Astyanax mexicanus: one gene and its partners. The protein of the gene in region 1 purifies or fractionates together with the protein of each later gene. This does not show direct contact. Links are inferred from orthologs where the notes say so. Each region holds a gene or a part of one and is shown in the gene's direction. Other genes may lie near its edges. The genes, in order: tsen15, clp1, tsen2 and tsen54.

Region 1 (6,882 bases):
GCTTCCGGAACACGTCCAGGTTGTGGACGTTGCAATTTATAGCTCATAAAATGAAGTTCATGATTTGCGATTGTTTCAGAACATCATTTAGGTGGATCTCAAATCGTAGATGCTGTTGGGAAAACACTGAAAGGTCATGAAGTCCCGCAGTGTGTAGAGAAAACCAAACACCGTGTGAACACACAGATCACCTCAGCATTATCACGGCTACAGGATGACATGCAGAACGTGCTGCAGAGACTGAACACACTAGAAGCTCTGACTGCAGCTCAGGTGAGTCAGAAAAGCTTTGCATCTTTAGATCAATAATCTTTAATATTCATGTTTATGTGGTTTTTATAATAGTGTTACATTCTACTAGTCTTTATTTCATTTTACACTTAAAAAATGATAAAGACTAATATTACTATTTCATACTATTTTCTCAGTGTTCAAGACCAATATTTGGAAAATTAAAACGATAGAAAACTACAGTATATCTATACATTATAAGATCTGGTCATAAAGTTGATATTTCTTGCCATCAGATATTATCACAATCTATATTTTTGTTACAGAGGCATCAAACCAATTCTTCAGATTTTTCACAGTGTGATTTCGATGTTTAATTTTTAACCAAAAGAAATTCAGGTTAACCTGCTGTACTGTATTTTCTTCTCAGGATGAAGCTTTTCCTCCTGAACAAGACCCTCATTCAGCTTCAGTAAAAAAGGTAGGCTTACAATACAGCTGTCAAATATACAATAGTACATTTAATTATATTAATAAAATCACTAAAGAGAATCATAAAGATGTTTAATTGGTTTGTTTTAGTTGGTTCTAAACTGTATGTTTGTAAGTTAGATAATTAAAGTTATAAATGTATTTAACATTTAAAAGTTTTTGAAGTTTAGATATGTAAGGTTTATATATTTATTAGGGCTGTCAACGTTAAACAATGAATCAGTAAAAGAATCACTAAAGAATCAGAAACACGTTTTCATTTTTGTTATGCAATTAATCATACCACCAAGTTTAACCCCAATTTCGCTGTAATCTGCCCCAGCCAACACAGCTATCAAATACACTTCTTTTTAATTGAGCTAAACTGCTGATAAGGTGCAGTTTAATCTGATATATTAGCCAGATAACATACTGCTATGAACAAACACTGTCTCTGCTGCTCCATACTGTTTACACACTAAGAGCGCAGTCTGTGCAGCGTTCACTGCTCACAGCCACACCACTCTGTTTACAACATGTCGAAATTTTAGATGTTTTCCAGTTAGTTGTCTGAGGTTTATATGTTGGGAAATTGGACATTAAATGTATTTGTGTTTAAGATGTAGATGTTTTATTCTTGGTGTTTGTAGAGTAGAGGTTTGTTTAGGTTTAGAAGTTTGATAGATAGATGTTTGAAGTTTAGGTAAATATAACACATCAATTCTTAGATTCTTAGAAACTATATTTTAAATTAATTATATAATCTTTTCTCTTTAATCTGCGTAATTTGCCAGCGATTTCCCTGGTGGCCTCAGGACACGTCTCCTGTAACTGTAGCTCTGGCTCTTATCTGGCCTTTTGCTGTGAACTGGCTGGTGCAGATTTATCTTCAGAGGAAGAGGAGGTCAGTATTTCATCAGTATTTAATCAGCAGTGATTAAAGCTCTTATTTTGTGTTTGAGGTTCAGTGATGTTCTGCTCACCCAGGCTGTATTTCTGGTTTTCAGGAGGATAAAATGAAGACGATGCTGTGAACGTATCCGAATTCAGGTGGAGCCCTCAGTGACAATCAGCCTCTTTCTACAGTATTTATAATATTACAGTGTAAAAATGTATTAAAGATACATATACAGATTAGCATAAATAAGTTAAAAATAACAATAATTCTCATTTTAATAAAGTGGCTAAGAACTAGAGTTCGTTTAAAGAACAAAGCTTGGTTCAGTTCCATCACCTGTATACTGATAAACCCTAAAACACTGATTTATTAAACCAAGTGTTGGTTTAGTGAGTGGAGGATAACCACAGCGAATACACTCATGAGTTGAGTTTTGGAGATGTTATATATGTTATATATATTATAAAACAAATGTATATATGGATTAATTGTATTATATTCTATTATAAATAAACACTCACTGCCCAGATAAGAATCTTATAATATTTTATTATAAGCAGTAAAGTTTATTCTTTGTACATTTATTAATATGTTTATTTATGTTATGTATTATTAAGTGCAGATGATATATTGTGTTTAAAATCTGCATAGTTAGAAATATATCTAAATTTATTTCTAAGCACTTTATTTATGTTGCAGTAAAATTACTTTATCCTGAATAAATATTTGTGAGGTTTTTTTTTTGGTAATGAAATAAATATTTGGTGCAATTAAACTTCACACCTTGCATTGTTTTTTTTTTCTACATTTTTGACCTGTTAAGGAAAACATTGTTGACATGTCTCTCCAAACCATCACAGACCATCAGTAAATTTTAAACCAGAGTCAGGAGGAAGAGTGGAGAGGCTCAGCTTGCGGATTTCATTTTCCAGCAGGATTTGGCACACTGCCCACACTGCCAAAAGTACCAGTTGGTCTTATATAATATTCTAATTTTCTGAAATACTGATTTAAAAATACTGAATAAAAGAAATAAACGCTTAAAATAGATCAATCTGTGTGTAATACATCTATATAATATTTGAGTTTCACATTTTGAACTGAATTACTGAAATAAAGTAATTAGTACATACCAATATAAATCCGTGTATCATTCGTTCATTTGATATTCAATTGAGAATCAAAATCGGAAAATTAAAAAACCAATTCGTTTTTTCGTTTTTTCGTTTTTGAATATAATACCAAAAAACGAATAACGGCTTGTATTTTGTATTTTTATTTGGTTATCCAAACAAAAATTGGAAATTTAAAAAACGGACCAGGAGCCGAATTTGATTTTGATTTTGAACTTGACCCATTTGTGTGCCCCGGAAGTTACTGATTTGTTTATTCTTGGTGGGTTTCTGTTGCGCGGGAGTTCACTGCAGTGTTATCTACACAGTCTGTATTGCTGTAGGCTTTGGATTGAGTTGAGGATGGAGAGTTTTATCTTGTTCATAGGAACTAAACGCGTTGCAGTGAAAGAAGACGATATGACAACAGAAAAAATCGGCAGGATCTTTCAGGTGTTTGTCTAACGTTCCGTAGCTAAATGTCATATTTAGTTAATGTTATTCTGTGAATTGCCGCCTACTAAATATGACATTTAGCTACGGAACGTTAGACAAACACCTGAAAGATCCTGCCGATTTTTTCTGTTGTCATATCGTCTTCTTTCACTGCAACGCGTTTAGTTCCTCTGAACAAGATAAAACTCTCCATCCTCAACGGCCCTCTCCAATTCTGTGTTCGATACATGTCTTTTTCGCTTAAGGTCGTGTTGAACACAGAACCTTCTAACACTCATTGCAGAACATCGCTGGATCCCCATTTGCTGCAACGTGCACGAAATCTCTTCATGCGTCTTACCACCTTCAAAAAGATCTTTAATTAGGCCAGAATGTGGTTCCAGTCCGGCCATGCTGCCTACAGCAATACAGACTGTGTAGATAACACTGCAGTGAACTCCCGCGCAACAGAAACCCACCAAGAATAAACAAATCAGTAACTTCCGGGGCACACAAATGGGTCAAGTTCAAAATCAAAATCAAATTCGGCTCCTGGTCCGTTTTTTAAATTTCCAATTTTTGTTTGGATAACCAAATAAAAATACAAAATACAAGCCGTTATTCGTTTTTTGGTATTATATTCAAAAACGAAAAAACGAAAAAACGAATTGGTTTTTTAATTTTCCGATTTTGATTCTCAATTGAATATCAAATGAACGAATGATACACGGATTAATATACATTGTTTGAGCGATTGATTTCCTTTAATGCGGAACCTCTTGTTCAACAGCGTGTTTTTTTTTCCGGTAGGGTTTGGGAGAAGCGCAACAACAGCACGTTGGGGCGCGTTCCATATGTGGTTTAAAGAGTCTAGATAGTGCGCACTTAACATTTTAGAAGCCCGTGTTTTCCAGTGGCGAAGTGGCAAGTGTTACATGTTGGCGTTACCGGGTGCACTCCAGTCTGCTTTCAAGTAGCTAGATAACTTTAGTTTATCGTTTAGATATTCAGCTTTATGTATTAATTACCGGTTCGGTAATTAATACACAACAGTAGTTAGTCTACTTAAACGCAGGTACGCGATTTGGGACGCGCCCTCGTTCTGAATGGGAGCATGGAGGAAGAAAGCAGAGCGGCTGATTCGAGCTGGATTAAACAGCACCCAGCAGTGAGTTTCGGTGTTTTTAACCTAGTTAAGTATCTTTTCTAGCTATATTATATTGTTTCTGTATTTTTAGAGACGTTTAGTTACTTTAAGCTGCCTGTTCTTCATTCCAACCAATATACAGTAGTATAAAAAGGTTTGGGCACCCCTGATAATTTTCATGATTTTTCTTTATAAATCTTTGTTTTTTGGATCAGCAACAAAATTATGAGTTTTTTGATTTTATCAAATTGAAAACCTCTGGAATATAATCAAGAGGAAGATGGATGCTCACAAGCCATCAAACCACCAAACTGAACTGCTTGAATTTTTGCACCAGGAGTAAAGCAGCATAAAGTTATCCAAAAGCAGTGTGTAAGACTGGTGGAGGAGAACACGATGCCAAGATGCATGAAAATATGAAAACTGTGATTAAAAAACAGGGTTATTCCACCAAATATTGATTTCTGAACTCTTAACCTTTATAAATATGAACTTGTTTCCTTTGCATTATTTCAGCCATTTCTCATTTTCTGCAAATAAATGTTCTAAATGACATTTTTTTTTTCATGCAGTTTACATTACACTGATTAAATTGTAGGACCTCCAAAAACATCTTTGAGTCTTTATTCAATGACATGATTTGAGTATCTATGGTCTAAAATGTGCTTATTCTCTTTAGTACCAAGACCTGATGAATCTGGATGTTGGTGACAGCGCTCAGGTCTATGCAGCATTCCTGGTTTATCTGGACTTAACAGAAGGTAAGAGAAAACTCTAGTGTTCTCCAGTACTGTGACGATATGTTCAGTGCATGTTGGATGTTAATCAGGATGTCTTGTCATGGCTGAACTCTGTTGCAGTTCGTCGCTGGAAGGACGTGGTGGGAGTCGCGAGCTCTGAGCTGCAGGCGGTTCTGCTGGAAGGCCGTGAGAAGGAAGGTGAACCGGTACAGGTGGTTTATCCACTTCCCTCACACAGAACCGTCAGCCACAAAGAGTAAGTGGACAAGGTTTGCGTCACTACTGTAATACTTTTCAAGGGTCTAAAGCAAGAGATTGCTGGGTTGAATCTTGGTCATGCAGCTTACGGCCATCAGCTGCTGGAGCCCTGAGAGAGCACAGTTGGTCTTGCTCTGGGTGGGAACAGTAGATGGCGCTCTCTCCTCTAATCACGCTGAGGGTGATGTGGATTAGCACAATGCTGCGTCTGTGAGCTGATGTATCAGAACCGATTCGCTTTCCAGGGATTCTGGTTTCCTATCCAGAGTTTGTTTGTCTGTATCTATTTTTTTCATGTGAGCAGACATTATTATCAAGGCATTTCTCTGCCTACACCATGTATGACTCTATATATTGTATGTGGCACATTTTGATTAAATCTGTTCTCAGTTTGAGGTGTATCCTGGACCGAGGAAGCCCAATGCTGTTGTGTGCAGTGGCCTCAGACTCCACCCTGGTGTACCAGCGGCTGTGTGACGGCCTGCTAACCCCGGACCCTCCGGTGGACATTCAGGACCAGGGCCGGAGACAGCACCGCAAGAGAAGACTCCAAACATGACCATTACATGACCATGTAATGGACATAACATTGTGGAAGATTCTGACTGAAGTTGAGGGGCAGTGTTCAGCCCACTGTCTCAGATTTAGCTTTTTATAATTTATCTGATGGCTGTATTTGAAGGCAGCTTTTCATTGGTGGGCAATAAGGCTGCATGATGGGGTCAGAATATACTCACCTTTCTGTAATGACAGTATTATAAAAAAGATCAAAAGTGCTTGCACGGTTAAGAAGTGTGCAGTTCTCTTTGACCTTTATTATTTTTCATAATATTAATGGCTCCTATCCAGATGGGGTGTGGCACAGGTACCTTCAGTGGCTTGTGGTTGTAAATACAATCCTCACTCTAGTCTCTGAAGGAGTTTAGTGTTTCTTTGTGTGTGTCCTCCTAGGTTAGGTGAACTGGGCGTGCTATAGCCTGTGTAATGGGATAACATTTGACAGACATTTCCTTTGGACAGTCCTACATTTTGGACTCAAAATAAACAATAAATTATATATACACTAGTGCATCTCAAAAAAATTAAATATAATTGAAAAGTTACTTTGTTTCAGTAATTCAGTTCAAAATGTGAAACTCATATAGCGTTATAATTGTTTGTTTATTTTATTGTTGATGATTATGGCTTAGAACCAATGAAAACCCCAAAAATCAGTGTTTTAGAAAAGTAGAATATTCTATTAGACCAATTGGTACTTTTAGCAGTGTGGGCAGTGTGCCAAATCCTGCTGGAAAATGAAATCTGCATCTTCATAAAAGTTGTCAGCTCTGATTTTGAACTTGATATAACACAGTGGATCAACACCAGCAGATGACATGTCTTTTTAAACCAAAATTGATTACTCTTTGTGTAATACATCTATATAATATTTCAAATTACGTTTCACATTTTGAACTGAATTGCTAAAATAAAGTAAATATAAACTTTTCAATGATAGTCTTAATTTTTTAGATGCACTAGTATATATCATATATAAAAGACATAAGGCTCCATTCATCAATATCTTCCCAAGACAAATTTTAATCAGAT
Region 2 (7,446 bases), on another chromosome or scaffold:
TTAATGGCTAAAAATTACAAACAGTAAATACTCACTTGGCCGTGATGTTCTTTGGATTCTTAAAAATAAAATGTAATACATTACCAAAATAAATTAAGAAAACTACCTACATTTTTGTGAATTTGTCTACAGCAAACGGGTTTACGCAGTAAAGGCGCTATAGCATCCCTGCTACCGTGAGCTGTCTGGCTGGTGAGCAGATGCTAAAGTTACAGCCAGAGCATGTTTAATAGGTTTATAACTGTAGTTTAAACGCTTTTTAAATTATGTCTGCGGTGCTGAAACAATTGTTGAAAAAAAAGAGCAAAATATTAAGTATGAAAATATATATACATATGATGATATATGATATATGGCATACATTCTGCACAATTACTCCGTTTGAACCCATTCATTTTGGGCTCACTCCGTAGCGCCCCCTGGTGGTCACACTAACCCAGAGGAGATGCTGAAGTGAGTATTCTCTCTATAAAAGCTCCCATCGGCTCAGTAAAGGAAAGATTCATTTTGGTGAATCGGATCATTTGTTTTTAGTACATGGTTTAGTGTTATTAGGCTCGATTGACTCGTTTACAGGAGTCGTTTAAGGACAGCAGATTCTTCCACAGTTCGCGCCAAAAACAGTTACAGCGGCGTCCTAAAATGCCTCCTCGCGCTAAAGCAGGTTAGTGATTTATTTTACAGTTAAATAAATGTCAGGGTTTATAACCGTGCAACATAGTAGATATTTATGTGAGTAGCCGAGGAGCTGTAGAGCAGTTGTCTAGTGTTAGTTAGCTTGTGTAACGTAGCTAAAGAGTGAGCAGCACGACCTGCACAGATTCATTAGATAACCTGGATTTTATAAGTCTGGCTGAACACCTTCAGTAATACAGCGGGTAGACAGGTTAGCTAGTTATCCAGCTAACATAGATGTTATGAAGGTGTGCACATTACGTTGGCCATGTTTTAGCCACTCCTGGGTCAGGATACGTGGTTTTCTTACCTTTAAACCTGTTTTAACCTTACAGCGATGCAGTGCTCAGAAGCGTTAGGCGATGTTAACTAACTTAACTAGTTAAACTAGCTAATATACTTAACCCAGCTTATATATGTATACGTATAATACTTCTCCTCTGAAAGCCACAAAGACTTTAGTGAGGTCAGGTTCTAATAGTGGAAGGTGGTAGTATGGTTAACTAGTGTTTTTATACCCACGTGAGAAAATGTTATAAGAGTGTTGATCGCCCCCTATGGTATGAAATGGTATGAAAAAATTTGGCACCCCTGATTTTCATTTATAAATCATTGGTTGTTTGGATCAGCAAATTTATTTGTGTAAAAAGGAATAATCCAGAATACCTTAAACCAGAAGCCAGACTCTCAATGGAAGCTATAGAAAGCTTTAGAGGTTGTTATTTCTGCAAAACGGGAATCTACTATATATTGATGTATTTATTTCTGGTATTTTTTATGCACTTTTCTAATTTGGTTTAATTATTTGGTATAATTATTGTACACTTTCTTCAAATTCTATTAACCTTATTTGATTTATTTTAACCTTATTTTTATTTATATTTTACTGAAACTGCTGGTCTGAACAATCAATGATTTATACAGGAAAATAATTAAAATGATCTGTTCCAGATTCTTTTTTTTTTTTAAGATGTATTTTAAGAGACGAGACAAGCTGTGGGTGCAATCTAAAGGAACTAAATACATTCAGTACTAGGGGTGTCAACAAACATTTGGGACTTATAGTATCCTTACCCACAAAACAAGAAAAACAGCCCCTCAGTACTCAGTAGTTAATTTCTGGTTATCTGTTCAATCCATATTGAACTAAATAGTCTCCAATATGTGTGTGTAGGTCGTGGGGCAAAGCGCAAGGTGGATGCTGTTGTGGAGTCGGAGCCAGAGGCAAAGAAGGATAAAACAACAGATGCCGAACAGGACGAAGGCCAAAGAGTGGTCATCGAACACTGGTCAGAATCAGTCTCTCTCTCTCTCTCTCTCTCTCTCTCTCTCTCTCTCTCTCTTTCAATGATTGTTAACAGGGTTAACCCAGATTTTGGTTGTATTAGTTTGTTACACAGTTGATATTAAATAAAAAAATGCATGTATAATTTTTTATAATTAATTAAATTATATTTAATAATATTTGGGAGGTGTGTAATGTATAGAGCTCTCTCTCAAAAGGCTTGTGTTCACATAATGGCTGCAATGTGTTTTTGCCTCTTAGTAAAAGCTGACGAGTGTATGGTCGGAATGCCGACATGGTCCGTGAGGCTCTCCTGGCTGTACATCCCGAGCTGCGTGTGGTGCTCAACCCCCAGAAGCCTCGTCGAAACAGCTTTGAGGTCACCCTAATGGAAGGAGACAAAGGTTATGGTGCAGCTATGCAGAATATAATGATGTCTAAAGTGCTGGTTTACTTTTATGCAGAGTTTAACTGGTCATGGCTAGGTGAGACCGGGATTCCAAAGGCAGGGTTAACAAACAATGCACTAGAATAGTTACACTGCAAACATGCTAAAACAGACCAAAAATTAAAGTCTCCAGTGCAAACGGCATTCCTTAGTCCCTCACAGTCTTGCCTTTTGGTATTGGATGGAGCCTTATCATTCTAGAGGACACAGTTCCACCGCCCCACAGCTTAGTGCCTGGGGTATTTATACTCCTCTATTGAGCCGCTGACCTTGTGCACTGTGCCAGTAGGTTTGTTTGTGTTTTAGAGAGTAATTTTCTATTCTATTGGCAGTATTTCTTTATAGGGACTATACATTTTTTGTGTGTTTATTTGCACATCTGTGTCAGCAATGAGTGAACTATTTTTTTGTTTGTTGCAGAGGTGGTCCTCTGGACTGGCATCAAGAAGGGTCCTCCCCGTAAACTAAAATTTCCAGATCCTGCTGAGGTTGTGACTGTGCTTGGCGATGCCCTGAAGAGCAACTAGAGATTAGTGAGGAGATGGGTATGTTGGAATATCATAAAAGTTAGCTTTTAGGTTTATTACATGCATGCACTTTCTGAAATGTTTATTTAAAAATGTGGAATATTTTTTAAGGAAGTTTTTTTAAAAAGCTTAGCAAATGTTTAATGTTTGATTTACCCTCATTTTCAGTCAATCATCTTTGGTTCTATGTATGCATAATGATGAGGATGGACCAAATGGACGACTTCCAGTCTGTTCTCTGATGTTTTTTGGCAACTAGACCCTGGATGATTGCAGCCTCCTTGTGATCTCTTGCTTAACCTCTTAACTCCAATTCTTGTTATTTAGATCTTGTGATCTATTCTCTCACTTTTTCTGTTTTTCTGTGTGGTTTTCTGTATGTTATGTCATCTAATAAAGTAGGATTTTTCAATATAGCAGGATACATTGGACCAACACTGGAAATTGTTCAGTGGGAATATACAATCCTTTTTAATGGTTTTGCGGTTTGGCCTCGCGTGCATGGCTAACTGAGTGATTCTGCTTTTGTAAAAAATAAAACCAGTCTGGATCTGTAGAGTTGAGGTTACAGATGTCTTGCCTTCTAACTGAACTGTTTTAGTCTGTTTTCTGTTCTCATTAAAAAAATAATAATAATAAAGCTTCTATATTTGTACTTGGTTTGTCTCCTTTCATGACCCATGTATGTTCCTTACAAGATATAAACATATCTAAAGATAATGTTCTTACATAATTTAATTTGCAGTAAATAATAATGCTGTTTTGTATCATTAAATGTAGTTAGAGATAAAATGTAGTTCCTAAAGCTGTAAATACTTTTGAAGATACAAATATTTTGTGTAACTAAGTATATAAAACAGGCCTGCGATTGTTTAGATGTCTGTACATTTTAATTGTTTATCATTTTTGAGGAATTAATAGAGGAGAGGAGAATACAATTCTCCACTTACTTTTTAACCCGTGTAAACTGAAGGAAAACTGGATTAGAAATGATTGAGAATTTGTTGTTTTATTATTCACACTCCATGGCATAATTAGATTTTATGGGAGTAAATATGTAATTTTTTGAAAGATTGGGAGACCCTATGGGAGTATGAAACTTATTGTTTGAATCAGATATTTTAGAGCAGGCACCCAAAACATGCTGGAGTATTCTATCTGCAAAAACACTTTAAGTAAGTATACACGCGTATAGTAAGAATATAAACGGCCTAAAATATTTCTTTACATATTCTTGCAATTTGCTGCATAAATATGCATACATTCTTGCATATTTATTACATAATTTTGTTTGTGACCCACTTGTAAGCCTTATTGTAGTGGACGTAAATATGCCTTCTTACATTAGAGAAAAAGAAAATAAACACATCGATATGTTAAAAATAAAGTATAATATGGTTAAAAAAACAAAAGTGGTTGTTTTCTGAGGGAAACAGTGTGTTATAGTGGGTGAAGAGTTTGTAAAGGAAAAAAGGGTCCTTTAAATCAGGAGCCTCGTGCGGGTGATGTCTGACGGCATCACCACGCGCCCGAGTTGCCTGGCGCTGGTGGGCTGTTTGAAGACCCCTGGACTTGTTTGGAGATTTTACTGGACAGTAAGGAGGAAATACAGCCTGAACTTTTTATTTTATATTTAAACACTTTTAGACCACATGCTTTTATATTTCAGGGAGGAGTTTAAACTCAGCCGCTGGATAAAGAGGATAAATCAGGCGGGCGGTGTATTGTTAGTTTGCTGCTGGGGCTCGGAGCTAAGCTAGCTAAAGGCTAAGATCGCTAACGAGTGAAACGCCTGTTCTATAAAACATTCATTAAGTTATATCACCTTTACACACAAACCTTAGAGAAGATTAAATCTGCAGTTTAATATTATCTGATCTTCCTCAGACGCAGGTGCTTAATAATATTAGCTAGTTAGCTTTCTAACAAACTTTAATATTACTATTTAACGTACACTTCGAGCTAGGTTAAGTTACCTAGATGCTATGTTTATGCTAGGTGGTTGCTGTGATGGGCCTGAGTGGTTACTAAAGTTTCTAGTAGTTGAAATTGAGATGTTGTTAAGTAAGCAGTCGCTACGATATGTCAGGTGTTTGTGATGGTATCCCTGGTACTTGCTGTGGTATTACAAGAGTGAATTCGTTTGGGATTGCTATGTTTATTCAAAGGGGTTGCTCTAGTCGTGCAGTGTTACCCCAGGGGTTGTTAGGCAGTTGCTAAAGTACCCCAAATGGTTGTTGTGGCACCCCATGTGGTGGGTTGGGTGAAAAAACGCAGTTTGGGACACCAAGCATGTCTTGGCCAAAGACTATATTGAGTAAATTTGCTTTTTTTGGCAAACTACTGCAGTGGTGCTTGAAAGTTTTTAAAAGAATTTTACAATTATACATATGATCTAAAACATCATCATCATCATCATCATCAGATTGTTAGACAAGTGCAACTTGTGTGCTTATTGAGATTCGGTTCATTTAATACTTAATTCCTTACCTGGAATCCTTGTTCATGGTTGTCTTGATAGTGGACGCAGAAACATTAATACTAGCCAATATGAGAGAGGCCTTCAGTTGCTTAGAGGTTACCCTGGGGTCCTTTGTGGCCCCGCTGACTATTACAAGCCTTGCTCTTGAAGTGATCTTTGTTAATTAACCACTCCTGAAGAGGGTAACAATTACTGAATTACCTTCATTTGTACACAATCTGTCAAAACTCTTTTTCTGAGGTCCTCAGAAATCCTTCACACATTCCACAAAAATGTGTTGGGAACACTTTGATAGATCCCTGTTCTTGAAATTGAACTGAGTGCCATTCTGATTGTCATTCTATTGATTAAAAACACTTGACTCTAATTTCCTCCATATTCATGCATTCAGTAAAAAAAATATGTATGGTCGGATAGTGTGCATTTTTGGAAAAAGCCGTGGATGGTTTATTTTCCATCACCTCTTTCCTTGCAGACATGAGTACAGAGGTCTCTGAAAAACCTGGTGAGGAAGGAGGGAGTACTGGAGGAGGCACTGGGATTGTAGGGACACGTTATGACTTAGAGAAGGAGACTGAGCTGCGCTTTGAAGTGGAGTCTGGAGAGCGGGTCCAGCTAGAACTCCTGACTGGCATGGGCGAAGTGTTCGGCTCTGAACTGAACAGAAATAAGAGGTACACGTTCGGCCCAGGCTCTAAGATCGCTGTGTTCACCTGGCAGGGCTGCAGCCTCTCACTCTCAGGAAAAACAGAGGTAAGGATCATGAGTACTGCACACCCGTTACTGACACTGACAACTTTAAATGCCAATTTCAGTTTGACACAGGATTATGACTTTGTGTCAAACTTGTTATCACTGTTGTGATGTTAAATAACCAAAATGCAACATTAGCCAAACATCAAATTTGTCATAGTTTCTGAATATGTGACTTTGATTTTCAAATAAATTAAGTGATTTTACAGTGTTTGGTTTTATGTTACTATCTGTGTGTGCCTACAGAGCTGTATTCTTTCTTGTGGTAAGCCTAGGGACATGTGTGAATCAGAACTGCAGAAGAGGGGGTTGTATACACTCCATAAATTTGACATAGAGTGTATTGGGACTGTTTTTGATCATTTAGGGACTGTAAGTTCTGAAGTTTGTAGAGTATCTTATATGCTTTGTTCCTACATGAATTGTTCATTATGTCAGCTCCACTGACCATTCAGAAAGTGGTGTTATTGTTATGTTTAATCGGTGTAGTGATATCCTTATTACATTTTTATGAATAGTTACCCCACCATACTGAACCTTATAGTAGTCTCATTCTTTTTGAATATCACTGTCCTGTGAAGCAGCAACCCATATTTTACACACCCCATTTTGCAAATTAAGGCAGTAGTTACTTTAAACAGGTGGGGTTATTGTAGTTGGATCCAAAATTGGAATTTGGAAGGTATCTCTCCAAGCAGCAGGGTTGAAGACCACTTACTTAAGCAATAGAGCCATGAAGAGGATAATCAAGCATAGAGAAAGGAAGTTCTCTGGAAATTTGTTTAAAATAAAATTATTAAAATTAGTAATATGTCTTTTTGTCTGTAGGTGGCATATATCTCTAAAGACACACCAATGTTGTTGTATCTGAACACACACGCTGCACTGGAGCAAATGAGACGACAAGCTGAGAGAGACAATGAGCGGGGTCCAAGGGTATGTCACTCCATTCACACATTTACAGCTCCAATCACAAAGCAGGTAGACTGGCCTAAATCTGATCTTTCTAGACAGACAAGACATATTTCTTAAATGTGAGCCAAGATGACTGGCAAACAACACACTGTATCTGGCATTTTCAGTTGCAGTTAAGGCAACTTTTAATATGGTGCATATCCAATACACAGTAATGCAACTCTGAACAGCCAGATAAGAATTTAGCTTGAATTTAATTAAAAATACACGCTGAGCAGAGGACAAAATGGATTGCTAGTAGCCCAGATATTGCATTCAGGTATTCCTATGCAGCAGAATACCTAATTTGTTTAGACTAACG
Region 3 (7,105 bases), on another chromosome or scaffold:
TTATACTCAATTATTTCCCATTTTACACTCTATATAAGCCATACCATTAAAACCAGTCTTACAGAATACAAGGCGCGTGGTTTTAATGTTATGGCTGATTAGTGTAAATGAAGATTTGTATATGATGCTGTTTACATGCAGTTGTTAAGTATATCTATTATAAGAGATGTAGAATATAAAGTAAATTACTTAGAAAGTGAATTGCACAGAAAGTGATGTTGTTAGTAGATGTACTGTACTCTTTGTCTCTGCGGTTGCTGATTTGACTGAGCTGAACTATAGAACTGGTAGCTCTGAGTTCCGTTCTTTAGTTTTGCAGGAAATGCACTTTTTTCATAAAAATACAGCATTATAAATAGACTGATGTTTAGAAGCCTCTACTTTTGTATCTACTTTGTCCATAACTGATTGTAACAAACCACAGTGGTTTCACACTAAACTGAACATGCTTATAAAAGAGACCACAGAAATAAATGTAGTATCAAACATCTGACGAGTATGTTCATGAGAACTGCTAATTACCTGCAGCATTTTTAGTTCTCTCATAGTCTTCTCATAGTTTTGAGCTTATAAGGCCTCTTTCAATAACTATATTATTAACTTGTTATCCAATCCAAACATTTTACCTTAATAATTTTTGATCTCAATATTGGACATTCTTGTTTTTCTTGAAAAAAAAGAGCCTAGTAATGTGAATGAGTTGGTGTGTTGATTTTGTGTAAAAACAGTTATTGTATTTATGTTTAAATTATTTATTTATAGTATATTTCGATATAAATGGTCCTAATAATTAAAGTATCTTGCTCTTTAAATGGGTGTAATTATATTAATCTAATGTCTGGAAGTTTTTGTTGACATACCTGTGGTTTGTTATTAGGGCTGCGCGAAATGGCTACAAAAAATAGCCATTGTGAAATAAAGGCATCATGCAATTCTTTTAATTACAATGTTTCTACAACACAATTTGCTAAACATTTGGCACAAGAAACCACACAAACACAGATGTGAAATATTATTATTATAATTTTATATACCATTTAATATATATATATATATATATATATATATATATATATATATATATATATATATATATATATATATATATATATATATAATATAAAGAATAATCAGACACTATTTGTTCTATATGTAAAAAAATAGTGTCTGATTATTCTTTGATATATATATATATATATATATATATATATATATATATATATATATATATATATATATATATCAAAGAATAATCAGACACTATTTTTTTTACATATAGAAATGTTAAATATTCAAAATAAATAAAACACAAATAAAATAAAAACACTCATTCAGGTTTATGGGTTCTTCTTACTAACAGAACACAATTGGAAATTATGAGGAAATTATTCTTTAAGTAATATTATTACATATCTCCCATTTATTTAAGTTAGGTTGTTTTTTATATATATATATATGTTTTTTATACATTTATATATATAAACATATTATGTATTCTACTGTAAAATCCCATATAAAAACTATATGCTATATAAACACATACCTATTCTATGATGCATGTGTACTTTGCATACATTTTTAAATTTTTAACAAGTAAAGATAGAAAAGGGTGTACATTCCTCACAGTGAGAACTTTTTTGTGGTGGACAAATCATCAACCATGAACTGCATGCAAGCTGAATAAGCCAGTTTAACTCTCCCAGCCAGTCTCATTTTCCACCCACATTCAGTTCTGAGAACCCTTTTTTTAGCTTTTGTTGTCTACAAGAACTCTGTCCTCTCAGGTGCAACCAGTGAAGAATCAGGTCACCGATTGCTCAAATGGTATCATGTTTTTTGGCTTTGTAAAAGTTCACCAACACTGGCTGGATTTCACTGTGTCATCTGCGTTCATGGCCAAATTCGTCATTTGGCTGCTGATCAAACTAAAATTAACTGTAGTTAACTTTTGCTATTTATTTTTATGATGGTCATTTATAAAGCTGTGAAATAGATATTATATCAGAAGTAGATTTTTACATTTACGTTCATTCTTTCTTATATAAATGACAATCATATTGTTTTTAAAATATATTTTCTTTGCCTATACTCCGCTTTAGGAAGGTGCAAATGTATCTTATCACCTTAGCAGCAAATATAAGCCAACCATTCTAGAATTATGCATCTACATATTTTGTCTCTTTTTGACTTATTCTCAGACACATTAACGTTCCTTTAACTGTGCTGTATTTAATATACAAGCTGGCAGGATGCCTAACATGATGCCTACCTCAAGGCCCATTTATTCAATGGGCAACATGCTGGTTAAGATTACCCCCTAGTGGCTGATCTAAAATGTGAAATATTTTAAGAGCTCAAAGCAGCACACTGATTACCATCAAAATCCAATTTTAGCTAAGCAACAGTGACATCTATCAATTTAATTGAGCGGATGAAAAAGTAGACTTCATACGGATACACTGGAGCAGTAGTATAAGTTTTAGCGTCTTAAAAAACACTCGAAAAGTACAAATTCATCAATATTTTACTGGAAGAAGGTGCCTGAAACTAGGAACCAACTCTGACAAAGAGTGATAGTATGAACCCAGTGAAAACCAGAAATGCTTGACAGTTTCTTGGAATCAGAGATTTTTATGTCAGGGTTTTTTCTTTGTATTTTAGGGGACACACCTCAGACTTTCAACTTGTCTGAAATCACAGCATGGTTTGATTTAGTGGGGAATCTGCTAAGTTCAATGGATTATACTGTACATATACAGCAGGAATGTTTGAGCCTTAAACATTTATTAGCAATATTTTATTCTATTATATTCTATTAAATTAATTTATTCTATTAAATACATATTTAACTTTGTATTTACACACAATAATATTGTTTTATATTTTTGGAAGTATTCATTAATATATCCAGGATCTAATGCCAATAAAGAAGCTGTTAAATTATTTGTTTAAATTATAGGGACATGGGTACTGATATTCTAGCTTTTGGTAGTATCATGAATGGAATAACCAGTCAACTGTCCTTCTAGCATTCTGGCTGTTGTCCTATTTTATTTGTAATTAAATGTAGAAACACCCTTATAAACAAACAAATAGTTAGCAAAATCTTATATGTTATATGAATATTATATAACTGTATAAAACTGTCATATATCGGTGTGCTCTGACTTTGGTGGATTGGCATTTTAACATTCACTGCTTCTTTGCATCTCAGCAGAGGAAACTGTCCTGCTTAGTAACATTGTGAAAGTGTGCAAGCAGGTAATTTACGGAAATGTTATTTTATTTGCTAATTGTTAATGGAAAAGTTGGGTTTGTGAGTGCTGCATGTTTTGTGTGTGTGTATGTGGAGCGGGGGTGTATGCACATTAAGCGTGCATTGTGCCTGAGTTGCCAAGATAACAATGCACATCTGACAGTTAACTGTTGTTAGGGTTCTTGTCAGTCAGTGATGCACCTGTTTTTTTTATTGTCAAGATAGCAATACCTGAACACACCTGACTTCCAGACTGCCATGCCCATCTGTGTAGATATATTTGTAAGCGTCTTTGCTTCTTAAAAAATGCAAACACAAGGCGTGAAAATAGACTGTTGATGGAGTGGAAGATAGCAATAAGCATTGCAACACGCTTTGCACAGGGTGTAAGATAGAGTCCAATGTTAAGCTAAGCTAAAGATGTTGCCATGTGGATCAGCCCGACATCTTCCTGTAGCAGTTTTCTCCAGTTTCTGAAGGTCTTTTGAATGTGTATGAAACAGTACTCACCGCTTTCTTTCGTAATCTGTAGCTATTTTCTTTAAAGAAAAGACTTTTAATAGTTACAGGGTTCTCTGTGTTGCTGTGTCTTTTTGTAGTTTCTATGATGAAAGTGTAAATGTGCAGTGTGTAAATGCTGCAGTAGAGAGTGCAGAAACACAATTTGTTCCAATAATGCTTGACTAAAGACTACAGGCTAAACAATTTCCATAGCTTTTTCCTTTTTACATTATACATTTTTTTATTTAATACAATTTTTTCTTTAAAAGGCCTGATAGTTTACTGCTAACTTTTCTAGGTTACTATTTTATGTATTTCACGTCACCTGAACATCTTAAATGGCAAAAACAAACAGAAATAAAACAACTGCTTCAAAACGGACAGGAACCAAATACTAGTAGCTGTGAACTCGGTGGACGTGTTTCACTGTGGCACCGGAACTGCAGGTTAGTTAGCATAGCACAGCGTAAGCTAAATACATGAATGGAACTAAATGTGTGGATTTAAAGTTTTGTTTTTTATATTTCTGTGAGAAATCTGTATAAAATGTTCACAATGATTTCAAAGAATTGTCATTTTCACTCACCCCAGTATCTGTTTTTGCCGTTTATCCAACTTGCTAACCGCTCGTTCAGGGAAAGCTAACGTCAGTTACAGCAGATGATCAGCGTGCTAAGCTAACTGCCTGTCTGTCTCCAGGGTTACCAACCAGCTAGCGTAGCAGCGTCTCTAATCTTGTTTTTCTGAGGCGTTAAGCCATTGTTTACTAGAATTTAGGGTGTTTCTTCTTACTTTAGAAATCACTTAATATCTACAAAAATCTGTATTGACATCTTAATGTTTCTTCTGAGCTTTGTTTGTATTGATTTTCTGCAGTTAGAGCCTAAAGTTACTCTTCTGGGAAGATTTATCTGATGATTTGCTAAAATACATCTCCACCAGAGCATCAGTTAGAACAGGTAGATAGCTAACTAGGGGTGAGCGATATGGCTCTAACATAATATCACGGTATATCATGGTATTTTCACGATAGTGATTCTCTTGGCGATATGAAAAAAAAAACTGAATAAAAAAATTCAAGAATATACTACTGCAACAAAATGAAAATTAAGTATTATTATTGCCTATGATATGATATGGCACACCATTAACTGAGATATTACAAAATACAATTTTATCAGATTTGTAGCAGAAGTCAATGATCCAGAATGTCATGATACTAATAATACACTTCAAATATCTGTATATATCCAGTATTAAAGTAAAATTAATAATACTGGACAAACACAATCTGTCTGTAGTAGAAAGATCATGGGAAAGGGGCAAAAAAAAAACTTGGGGGGCCCCCCTCTACAACCAGCCCTGCTAAGGAGTAAGAACTTGGGACAGGGTTGCAAAAATGAGGTCTAGAAAAATATATATTTCTTTTTATTAGTGAAATGTTTACAGAATAAGTCTTTTTGACCACACCAGCACTTTGTAATCCTACAGTTCTTATATGTTCTCTTTATATACATTTCAGCAGATATGGAAGCGGTGTTCCAGGCTCCAAAACGGAGACCAAAAGTTTACGAATCATTTGAGAGCCCACTGCCCGTTCCTTTTACCTCAGTCCAAGGCACTTCCTCACTTCAGGGGGCCCTCATATGCAAAGCCGAGATCATAAACCAGCACGTTATAGTACGAGAAGCTGACCACATTCAATCACTGTATGGAAAGGTAAGTTTTAACAATATGTACCCTTTTTATTGTTGCTGTTTATTCAAGCAAACCTTTGGATGTTCAGCTTTTTAGGTTTTAGTAAAGTATACTAAATTTAATTTTAATGTTTTAAATAGAGCATTATGCCGACCTTACACCTAACGATTTTTAAGCGATTTCTCTCTCGCAGACAGATTTCCAGAGTCGGGATAAAATCACTAGAGTCTGGCTAGAGTCGGGCTACAGTCGAGTCGCGGTCGCATCATTCGGATCGTTTAGTATAAGGTGGTTATGACTGAAAGTTTTAGTCAGTCAGGTTTGCGTCCTGGCGCTCAGATAAAATCAACCGTGTTTAATATTATCTCAAGTCTTGAGACTCAGCTCACGCAAATAGTGACGTGAACAATGTCAGCAACCAATAGGAGAGGGAGCTACGGGAAGAGGCAAGAATATATTTCACGTAACTGTTCACATACAAACTATTTAAAAAAGAACAGATTTGGCAGTTAATATGCCTTATATGGTTCTTACTTTAATATGTATAATTTTTTAAACACAGGTTGCACTTTAAAGTTATTATATTTGTAGTTATTTTATTTTGCACTACTCTGTCTTATTGTGCTGTGTTATTTTTAATAAATACACATTTTGCAAGAATGATGTCCTTATTGCAATAATTCTATTTAAAACAAAGGCAAATGTATAGCAGCAAAGCTTTGATTATTTGCTGTACACAAATGTAGCAAAAAGGGGGGAAAAGAAGTTTATAATCAGAGCTGAACACAAAATGTATTCTATTAAGTAATATCAAGAACAAACAGTGTGGCAGAAAAAATTAACTGTTGATGGGGACACATTTTGTGAGTCTCTGATAAATCGCATTATTGACTGTAATTTAATTATTTGTAATTTAATATGTAATATGTATTGTATGTAAACTCCACCTGAAGCATGATGGTAAATAATCTCAGAAAGAATATAGTTGTAGTCTTGCAGTTAGTGATCCTCAGTCTTTGCAAAATCTTAGCCTGTGACTATTCTGTGAGTAAAAAGTCTGTGACAAGTCTTTAGATGTGAGAGGGTGTCAGACTTCAGTCTTTTCAGAGTCTTTTCAAAGTCATGTAGTGTATGGACAGCTTTAGTTGTATTTAGATTTTTTACTTCATATTTTATAAATTTTTTTCTAGGGTTATTTTGGTAAAGGAGTTCTGTCAAAAAGCAGACCAGAGCACAGTATTTCAGAACGGTGGGAATGTGAGTATTGATTTGAATTTGTATTTCGCTAATTTCATCTTTACATGTTTACAATGAAAATGTTGTAAGTTTTAACTGGCAATTAAAATACAATACACTAAAAAACACATTATTTTCTTCTGTTTATATCTAGACATAGGCAATGAATGTTTACCTGTTATCCCCTTGTCAAGGTAAGTAGTTGGCACTTCATAATTGTGATTGTTTTGCTGTCTGTAAATTATAAATATCTTCAAGGCAGCAATTATGAAAAATAATAAAAAATAATTAAAAATGAAAATTTGTTATTCTGCCTTCTACCAGATTATTTCACAATACTTTTTTGTTGATAGATGTTAGGAAGGAAAAATAGGTATTATGTATTATCTAACAGATGCATATTATATTATGTCT
Region 4 (6,909 bases), on another chromosome or scaffold:
TCTGACTGAAAGAAAACAGCCATAGTAACATGTGGCAGAAAAAAACACAATGCTTCATTTTCAGGAATTTATAATAGTAATTTCACCTAATATTTGAGGTGAAGCTCAAGCTGTTCACTGTATTTAAACTTATTTTAGAGAATCAAGGTCATAATTGTAATTCTAGGTCAACCACATTGTTATTAAATAGCAATTCCTAAAAAATGTAAATTGCTGCCATTTAGGGGGGCATACCATGACACGGTGAATGCATGAATGAAGTGAAATAAAAGTGAAAATAAAGTCATTAAGCTGGGAAAGAATATTTATCTGCAGTCTTATAAATATAATAAATTGTCAAAAGAATGTCAAATGTTTAAATCATTTTTTTAAAGTTATAAGACCCAATTACCAATATTCGGATAATGATCCACCAAAGTACAACTGTATTATTACCTAACAGTTTTTTTCCCCTGTCTTCTGTTTAATGTTTTTTTTTACGAAGGAAAAACAGACACAAGTCTCAGCTTTTGGGGTAAAAACTCAAAAGGTGGTGAAGTAAAGCCAGAACATGTTGCATTTTTGGTGCATGGGTGGCCTCACTGTCAGCTTGAGGCGTTTGTTTCTATGGTGATGAGGAGGTCTTGGGAAGCTATCTGGCTTACTGGAAATGTGGCTGCATTGTTGACTTTCTGTCAGGAGGTGGGGGGTGGCGGGGGAGCCGTGGAAGGAGTGACTGCTCCCTTCCTTGTGGTGTGTGTCCATGTTTTGGTTTGTGAGGTACTCTTTCATTTGATATGCATCCCTCACCTCTGGGGTCAGTTGGTCTTGTTTTGTGGCCAAACAAAGGAGAGCCTGAGCACAGTGGCCACACACGTCACCGTCCACTGTCCACCTGACACCCCTAATAACACCTTACAGAACACTTCATCAATTGCCTTGAAGTGCAGTCAAAAGCTTTTAAAACAAAGGCCATTTACACATTCACATGGTGCTTACTGGATGTGTAATGGGCTCTGGTGTCATCTTCCACTTTGGTGTCTCTCAGAAACCAACAATGTAAATAGATGAGACAGTGACAGCAATGGTCCACCCAGTTTGAACATACTCAACTAGTATTATTAAGTTCAGCACCACCTTTTTTAAATTTTTAGTGGTACATTAGGCGTTTCTAAACCTCAAGCGTTAGCCTTCAGATTTAAGGTGTGTTCTACAGCCTCCTGATGTAAAATATCAATTGTTCAGATTTTACACACAGTATAAAGTTATAGTACAGTACAGTAAACATATCCAAAATGATAATGATGAACAGAGTATTATGGGTGGGTCACATTAAATGTTTCTCTGTTCTCAACTTGGGAAACTTGCTTGCTTCATCTGACTTCATAAAATATTTTAGAAAAGGATATTTCTTGCAGAGAAAATTAAATTTATTCCTACATCAAACTGATGGCAGACAACAAACAGCATCTGTTGTGGGTAATGAACTGTACAAAGGTAAAAACTCCATAATAGACTGCCGGGCTTTGTTGCCTACAGGGCTGTCAAGGTTACATTAGCGTACACGATTCATTTGGATGGATTAATGAGTAATTATTTTGTTAACGAAAATTAATTACGCCATCAAGTTTGACCCTAATTTCAACTGTAATCTGCCCCGCCCAATGCGCAGATATTTTTTCTAGAGTGGTTTGCTTGTGGTGAGAACGATCTGGTAACGATCTGGTAACGATCAGACCCATCTGAGCTATCAAATATATTACTTTATAACTGAGCTAAACTGGCTCAGTTTAATCTGATATATTAGTCAGAAAATACACTGCTATGAACAAATGCTGTCTCTGCATCTCCATGCTCTTTACACGCTAAACCTGCAGTCTAGAGATGGAACAATCGATCGGCTGTGTATCGGCAGTGTTCTCAAGTCTCATGCTTTGAGCGTGTGACACACGCACCTCAGCGAGTTTACACGCTCACACGCCACACATGGTATTTCTCACGCTTGCCAATCCATCAGCTGTAAATTATAATGTACTCTCGTTGAGCCAATTAGAATATAGATCGCTCTGTTGTTAGGCAGACCTAGTCAAAGAGGGTGGAGTTTCAGCCAGAGTGTCAGGCGAAGAACTGTCCTATTCAAAAGTTCTGAAACACGCGTTGGTGAGCAACAACGCCCCCACCCCCCACTTCAGATATGTGGTTTATTTGTTAGGAAAGGGGCTACGTGAAAATGTACATACATCTTCACCTATTGGAGCTGACGTGTCTGCATGGCCGTAGCCATATTGGAGGAGGCAACCCTGCGCCCCGAGTGCATTAATTTACACTGAGGAAGGAGTAAAATACACCAATAATAATCACAACTCTACCATTTTCACACGGTTTGGTTTGTTTCAAACAGCAGAGATGTAGTTATGATACAGGAAGCTGTCACACATTACAAATACCTGCTTTCATGCTGAAATACTTTATATTATGCTCTTTAACAAAGACAGATATATGGTATAGCATATTAATAAGGTTTATAAATTAATTATATATATATATATATATATATATATATATATATATATATATATATATATATATATTGACGTATATACACATAAATACACACAATACACATATACACACACAATATATATGTATATTTATATTTAAAATTGCATGTTATCTGTCTTCACTCTCTTAACTATAAACTTTACCATGCAATTCAAATATTAAAATCCTTGAGTTTTTTTTGTCATTGTTGTGTGACTCCAAATATGTTTATGAATGAATTCACTTATATAAAATATATACACATAAATACACACAACACGCAGCAGCTAACAACAGCAGGATTAACGGAGTTAGTTAGCTCACAAGCTAACAACAGCAGGAATAACGGCGTTAGTTAGCTCACAAGCTAACAACAGCAGGAATAACGGCGTTAGTTAGCTCACAAGCTAACAGCAGCAGCTAACAACAGCAGGAATAACGGCGTTAGTTAGCTCACAAGCTAACAGCAGCAGCTAACAACAGCAGGAATAACGGTGTTAGTTAGCTCACAAGCTAACAGCAGCAGGAATAACAGCGTTAGTTAGCTCACAAGCTAACAGCAGCAGCTAACAACAGCAGGAATAACGGCGTTAGTTAGCTCACAAGCTAACAGCAGCAGCTAACAACAGCAGGATTAACAGGGTTAGTTAGCTCACAAGCTAACAGCAGCAGCTAACAACAGCAGAATTAACAGGGTTAGTTAGCTCACAAGCTAACAGCAGCAGCTAACAACAGTAGGATTAACAGATTTCTAAAACATATTCGCTCATTCCAAGTATTTGGAAATTTAGTTAAAAGCTCTGGTTTATTGCTGTAATGTTAATTACTAAAAATGCTAAGTTTAAATCAGGTCAGCGCTTGTTATAACAGGTTATGTGGGCAGACAGAGTCAGGCTAAATTTTTAGCCCATTCTAAGCTCTAGCTGGAGTGTTAGATTACTGTTGCTCCTATTAAAATAATATATTATTAGTTATATATTAACAGTAAATATGAGCTATTTTAAGAAGTATGCTGACTCTGGTGATTGGCATATAAAAATATAAATTGTTGTCTTATAAATATTTACACAAACTTATATCTCTCCTGAAAAGTGTTTATTTTGGTCAGTAAAACTCTTCTGTTTATTTATTATCAGAGTAAATTACCAGTGTTATCTTGGGCGTGGATGTAATTAGGGGAATATGTACCATGTTTGCCTCGAGATGAAAGATGATCAGCGATCGAAATTGGCACCAAAAACACTGATCTCTAATGCAGCGTTCACTGTCAAAAGTATGGACACACCTCTTCCCATTCAGTATGTTTTATGTTTTGTATAATATTTTATATTTTATATTCAGCACAGTACCATGCTGCCCCTAGAGGAGCAGTTGCTGCACTACACCCCTAACCCTTCCGGCACTAGGACCCAGCGCTCACAGACCAGCTGTAAACATGGCCACGAAACAAGCTCACGCGGAAGCTGCACGCGCGGAACGCAGTGAGGAGTTATTAAGGTAAACGCGAGGGATTACAGCTTTCTGAGATTCCGATAGGTATCCGCTCTGTCCCGTTAGTTGGTTAGTCTAAATTCAGAGTTTGTAGCCACACATTAGCAGGGCTAGTGCTGTAGACTTGTGTCTGTGGAGCATGTGTGGGCTGAGCTGCCGTCTGAGCGCTAACAGCAAACTTTCTGATGCGTCTGAACAATAAAACATGCTGCCTACTGAGGCCGGATCCTGAGAACAGGCACACCGACATGCCTGAGTCCAACATTCCCACTCCAGCCCTGTGTAAATGCTAACAGCTAATGAGAACACAGATAAACACTGATACAGCACTGGAAAAAAATTGAGACTAACGTTACTTCCGTTTCTGTGAGTTTGCTATTTAAATATGTTTAAGTAAAGTGAACATTGCTGTTTTATTCTATAAACTACGGACAGCATTTCTCCCAAATTCCAAATAGAAATATTTTCATTTAGAGCATTTATTTACAGAAAATGAGAAATAGCTGAAATAACAGAAAGATGCCGAGCTTTCAGACCTCAAATAATGCAAAGAAAACAAGTTCATATTTATAGTTAGGGTTAGGGTTATTTATAGTTAGAGTTCATAAATTAATATTTGGTGGAATAACTGATTTTAAAACACTGTTTTAATGCATCTTGGCATGTTCTCCTCCAACAGTCTTACACACTGCTTTTAGATATCTTTATGTCTTGGTGCAAAAATTCAAGCAGTTCAGCTTGGTTTGATGGCTTGTGATCATCCATCTTCTTCTTGATTATATTCCAGAGGTTTTCAATTTGGTAAAATCTAAGAAACTCATCATTTTTAAGTGATTGTTTTTTACAGAACTGTATCTAACAGTGAATTGTCAGAACAGCAACAAGGAATCAAGTCAGCATTTCATGCGTTTCAGACACATCTAGCACAGCTGATTCCACAACTAACTGACCCAACCTAGCTAACACAGCTAGAAGATCCGCTCAGTATAAGACACGTTGTCACACCTTCTTCTGGCCGGTGTAGTGATCTATAAAAGCAATATATGGAGCAGGTTTCATATCCATCCAGCACACTGTAACTCAGAGGAATTTCCCTAGATATGACACGTTTGTATCTCTAATGATTTAACGTTGTGTTTTTATTGTTTTGCTTTATTTAAATTACTAATATTAAATATTTATATATTACTTGTATTCAGATGAGCTCAGTAAGGATAGTTCATTGTCCTCTGTTAACATCACTGTTGAATACAACCTAATTACAACAAGCTAAACTGCTATTTCTGCTGCATCCAGACTTGTAACATTACCTGACTATTACAGATATTATCTTATTTACAGCACAAAATTTTACACCTGTGAACACTTCTAAAACTAGGCTTTAAAACCCACTTCTTCCGATTTCAGCAAAAAAAAAAAACAAATCAGCACAGCCTGACTTTTCTAACAGTAAAGATAAGCTGCTGTAATCAGTGAAACTTGTGCTTATAGCACTGCAGCCTGAACAGTTTATAAAATATCTGCATACATGTGGATGGCTTGAACAAATACTATGTCTTTGAGAACTATTTCTTGAACAAAAACTGCTTTCAGACCCAAAATATTCTCAAATATGGTAAAGCAGGTATCTTAGAATCAACAGTTTATTCATAATTAATTTGGTGTAATAACTTTCTGCTAGAGAGTTTGTAGAGTACTACATTTTTCTCCCAATTACCCAAGCATTTACTGATATATTACACTATAGACATGGCTAATTCAAAACATTGCTTATATGTAATGTTAGCTAGGTATTTTAGGAGATGGAACGTCATCCCTCATTAGCACAGCATTGTGAGAGAAAGTGAATTATAATAGTAATAATAATAATAATAATAATAATAAGTATTATAATGATTAGTTCATCATACTCCTAAAAGCATTGTGAGAGTAGAAGAGCCCCAACCCTTCAAATGCCTTTAAATGAATGTCAGGCCAATATCAGAATTTTAAAATCAACCAACAATGCCTGTGAGGCGGTGTTAAACAAAGGTTCTTTACCATCACCAACATGTAGTGCAACCTAAATTATAAATTCTATACAATGTTCTTTTCCATCAGGTTTCTGAGGAACTAGTTTGTGAATGACTGGAAGTTGTTGTACAGGAAGATCCTGTCTTAATGTTTTGCAGGCAGCTTGTTTAGCTACAGTATTTCTTCTCCTCTTCACATATTTCTTCAGTATGTTCTGCCTTTTTCTGTCTTTTTACCCAAAGCCCATCAGAGCTGTTTCATGCTCGGTCACGAAGTCATAAGATTCCTGTGAGAGGGCAGAAGGAGTTCTTGCCCACTGGCTCTGAGCAGCAGAAGACACACCTTCAGAAGAGTCTTCAGGAGCACTGGACTCTGGTGGCAGAGGAACGTGTGGAGAGACTGTGAGTCACTGCCAAACCCAATTATCAACAACAACATTTCTAAGGAAGTGTTTCTCAGAACTACATTGCTTTGGCCCTCGGTACATATGTGTTAGGTGATTCTGTAAATACCTTTGTTCAGAGGCTTCTTCCTACAGTCAGTTACCTTTTCCTTCTTTTTGACACATTTGTGTTTAAATAAAGAGCCTTTGCACCAGAGAGAGAGAGAGAGCACAATTCTTTTACCAGAGGTATCCCTGTTGGTGGCCAGTAGGTGGAGCCCTTTTCCCTTTTTTAATTCAACTTTGATGCGCTCGACCGGGGTGCTCATTCCTGGTGGTCTACCATCCTGAAGATTTCAGATCTTACACACCTCAGTCTAGAATCTACACATGTCCCTGCAAAGCTTTGTTAGACTGTTACGTAGGTGTGACCAACAGGCTACAGGGAAGGAGTCTTCATGGTACAGTCGTACAAAGAACCTGTGCTACCTAAACTGCAGACT

The links.
Region 2: the proteins of tsen15 (region 1) and clp1 purify together in Homo sapiens (affinity purification with mass spectrometry; 4 studies listed by BioGRID and IntAct, counting the BioPlex papers as one, with this or other methods). This does not show direct contact. The link is inferred for Astyanax mexicanus from reciprocal best matches to the Homo sapiens genes TSEN15 and CLP1.
Region 3: the proteins of tsen15 (region 1) and tsen2 purify together in Homo sapiens (affinity purification with mass spectrometry; 4 studies listed by BioGRID and IntAct, counting the BioPlex papers as one, with this or other methods). This does not show direct contact. The link is inferred for Astyanax mexicanus from reciprocal best matches to the Homo sapiens genes TSEN15 and TSEN2.
Region 4: the proteins of tsen15 (region 1) and tsen54 purify together in Homo sapiens (affinity purification with mass spectrometry; 4 studies listed by BioGRID and IntAct, counting the BioPlex papers as one, with this or other methods). This does not show direct contact. The link is inferred for Astyanax mexicanus from reciprocal best matches to the Homo sapiens genes TSEN15 and TSEN54.

The regions. Positions count from the first base shown.
Region 1 is NC_064415.1:56,947,665-56,954,546, reverse strand, and holds the start of tsen15 (tRNA-splicing endonuclease subunit Sen15), read left to right. Parts: upstream 1-3,869; 5' UTR 3,870-4,261; coding exon 4,262-4,315; intron 4,316-4,973; coding exon 4,974-5,055; intron 5,056-5,154; coding exon 5,155-5,290; intron 5,291-5,682; coding exon 5,683-5,851; 3' UTR 5,852-6,882. Other genes in the region: acbd5b (acyl-CoA-binding domain-containing protein 5-B), read left to right, coding at 80-273, 662-712, 1,497-1,606, 1,710-1,722. UniProt on the Homo sapiens protein: Non-catalytic subunit of the tRNA-splicing endonuclease complex, a complex responsible for identification and cleavage of the splice sites in pre-tRNA. It cleaves pre-tRNA at the 5' and 3' splice sites to release the intron.
Region 2 is NC_064417.1:23,193,444-23,200,889, reverse strand, and holds the start of clp1 (polyribonucleotide 5'-hydroxyl-kinase Clp1), read left to right. Parts: upstream 1-4,424; 5' UTR 4,425-4,530; intron 4,531-5,892; 5' UTR 5,893-5,894; coding exon 5,895-6,170; intron 6,171-6,199; exon of another isoform or gene 6,200-6,390; coding exon of another isoform or gene 6,391-6,435; intron 6,436-6,998; coding exon 6,999-7,106; intron 7,107-7,446. UniProt on the Homo sapiens protein: Polynucleotide kinase that can phosphorylate the 5'-hydroxyl groups of double-stranded RNA (dsRNA), single-stranded RNA (ssRNA), double-stranded DNA (dsDNA) and double-stranded DNA:RNA hybrids. dsRNA is phosphorylated more efficiently than dsDNA, and the RNA component of a DNA:RNA hybrid is phosphorylated more efficiently than the DNA component.
Region 3 is NC_064431.1:12,867,899-12,875,003, reverse strand, and holds the start of tsen2 (tRNA-splicing endonuclease subunit Sen2), read left to right. Parts: upstream 1-4,100; 5' UTR 4,101-4,203; intron 4,204-4,428; exon of another isoform or gene 4,429-4,716; intron 4,717-4,748; exon of another isoform or gene 4,749-5,161; intron 5,162-5,279; 5' UTR 5,280-5,284; coding exon 5,285-5,476; intron 5,477-6,645; coding exon 6,646-6,712; intron 6,713-6,845; coding exon 6,846-6,885; intron 6,886-7,105.
Region 4 is NC_064426.1:11,616,711-11,623,619, forward strand, and holds the start of tsen54 (tRNA-splicing endonuclease subunit Sen54), read left to right. Parts: upstream 1-3,908; 5' UTR 3,909-3,955; coding exon 3,956-4,017; intron 4,018-6,266; coding exon 6,267-6,425; intron 6,426-6,909.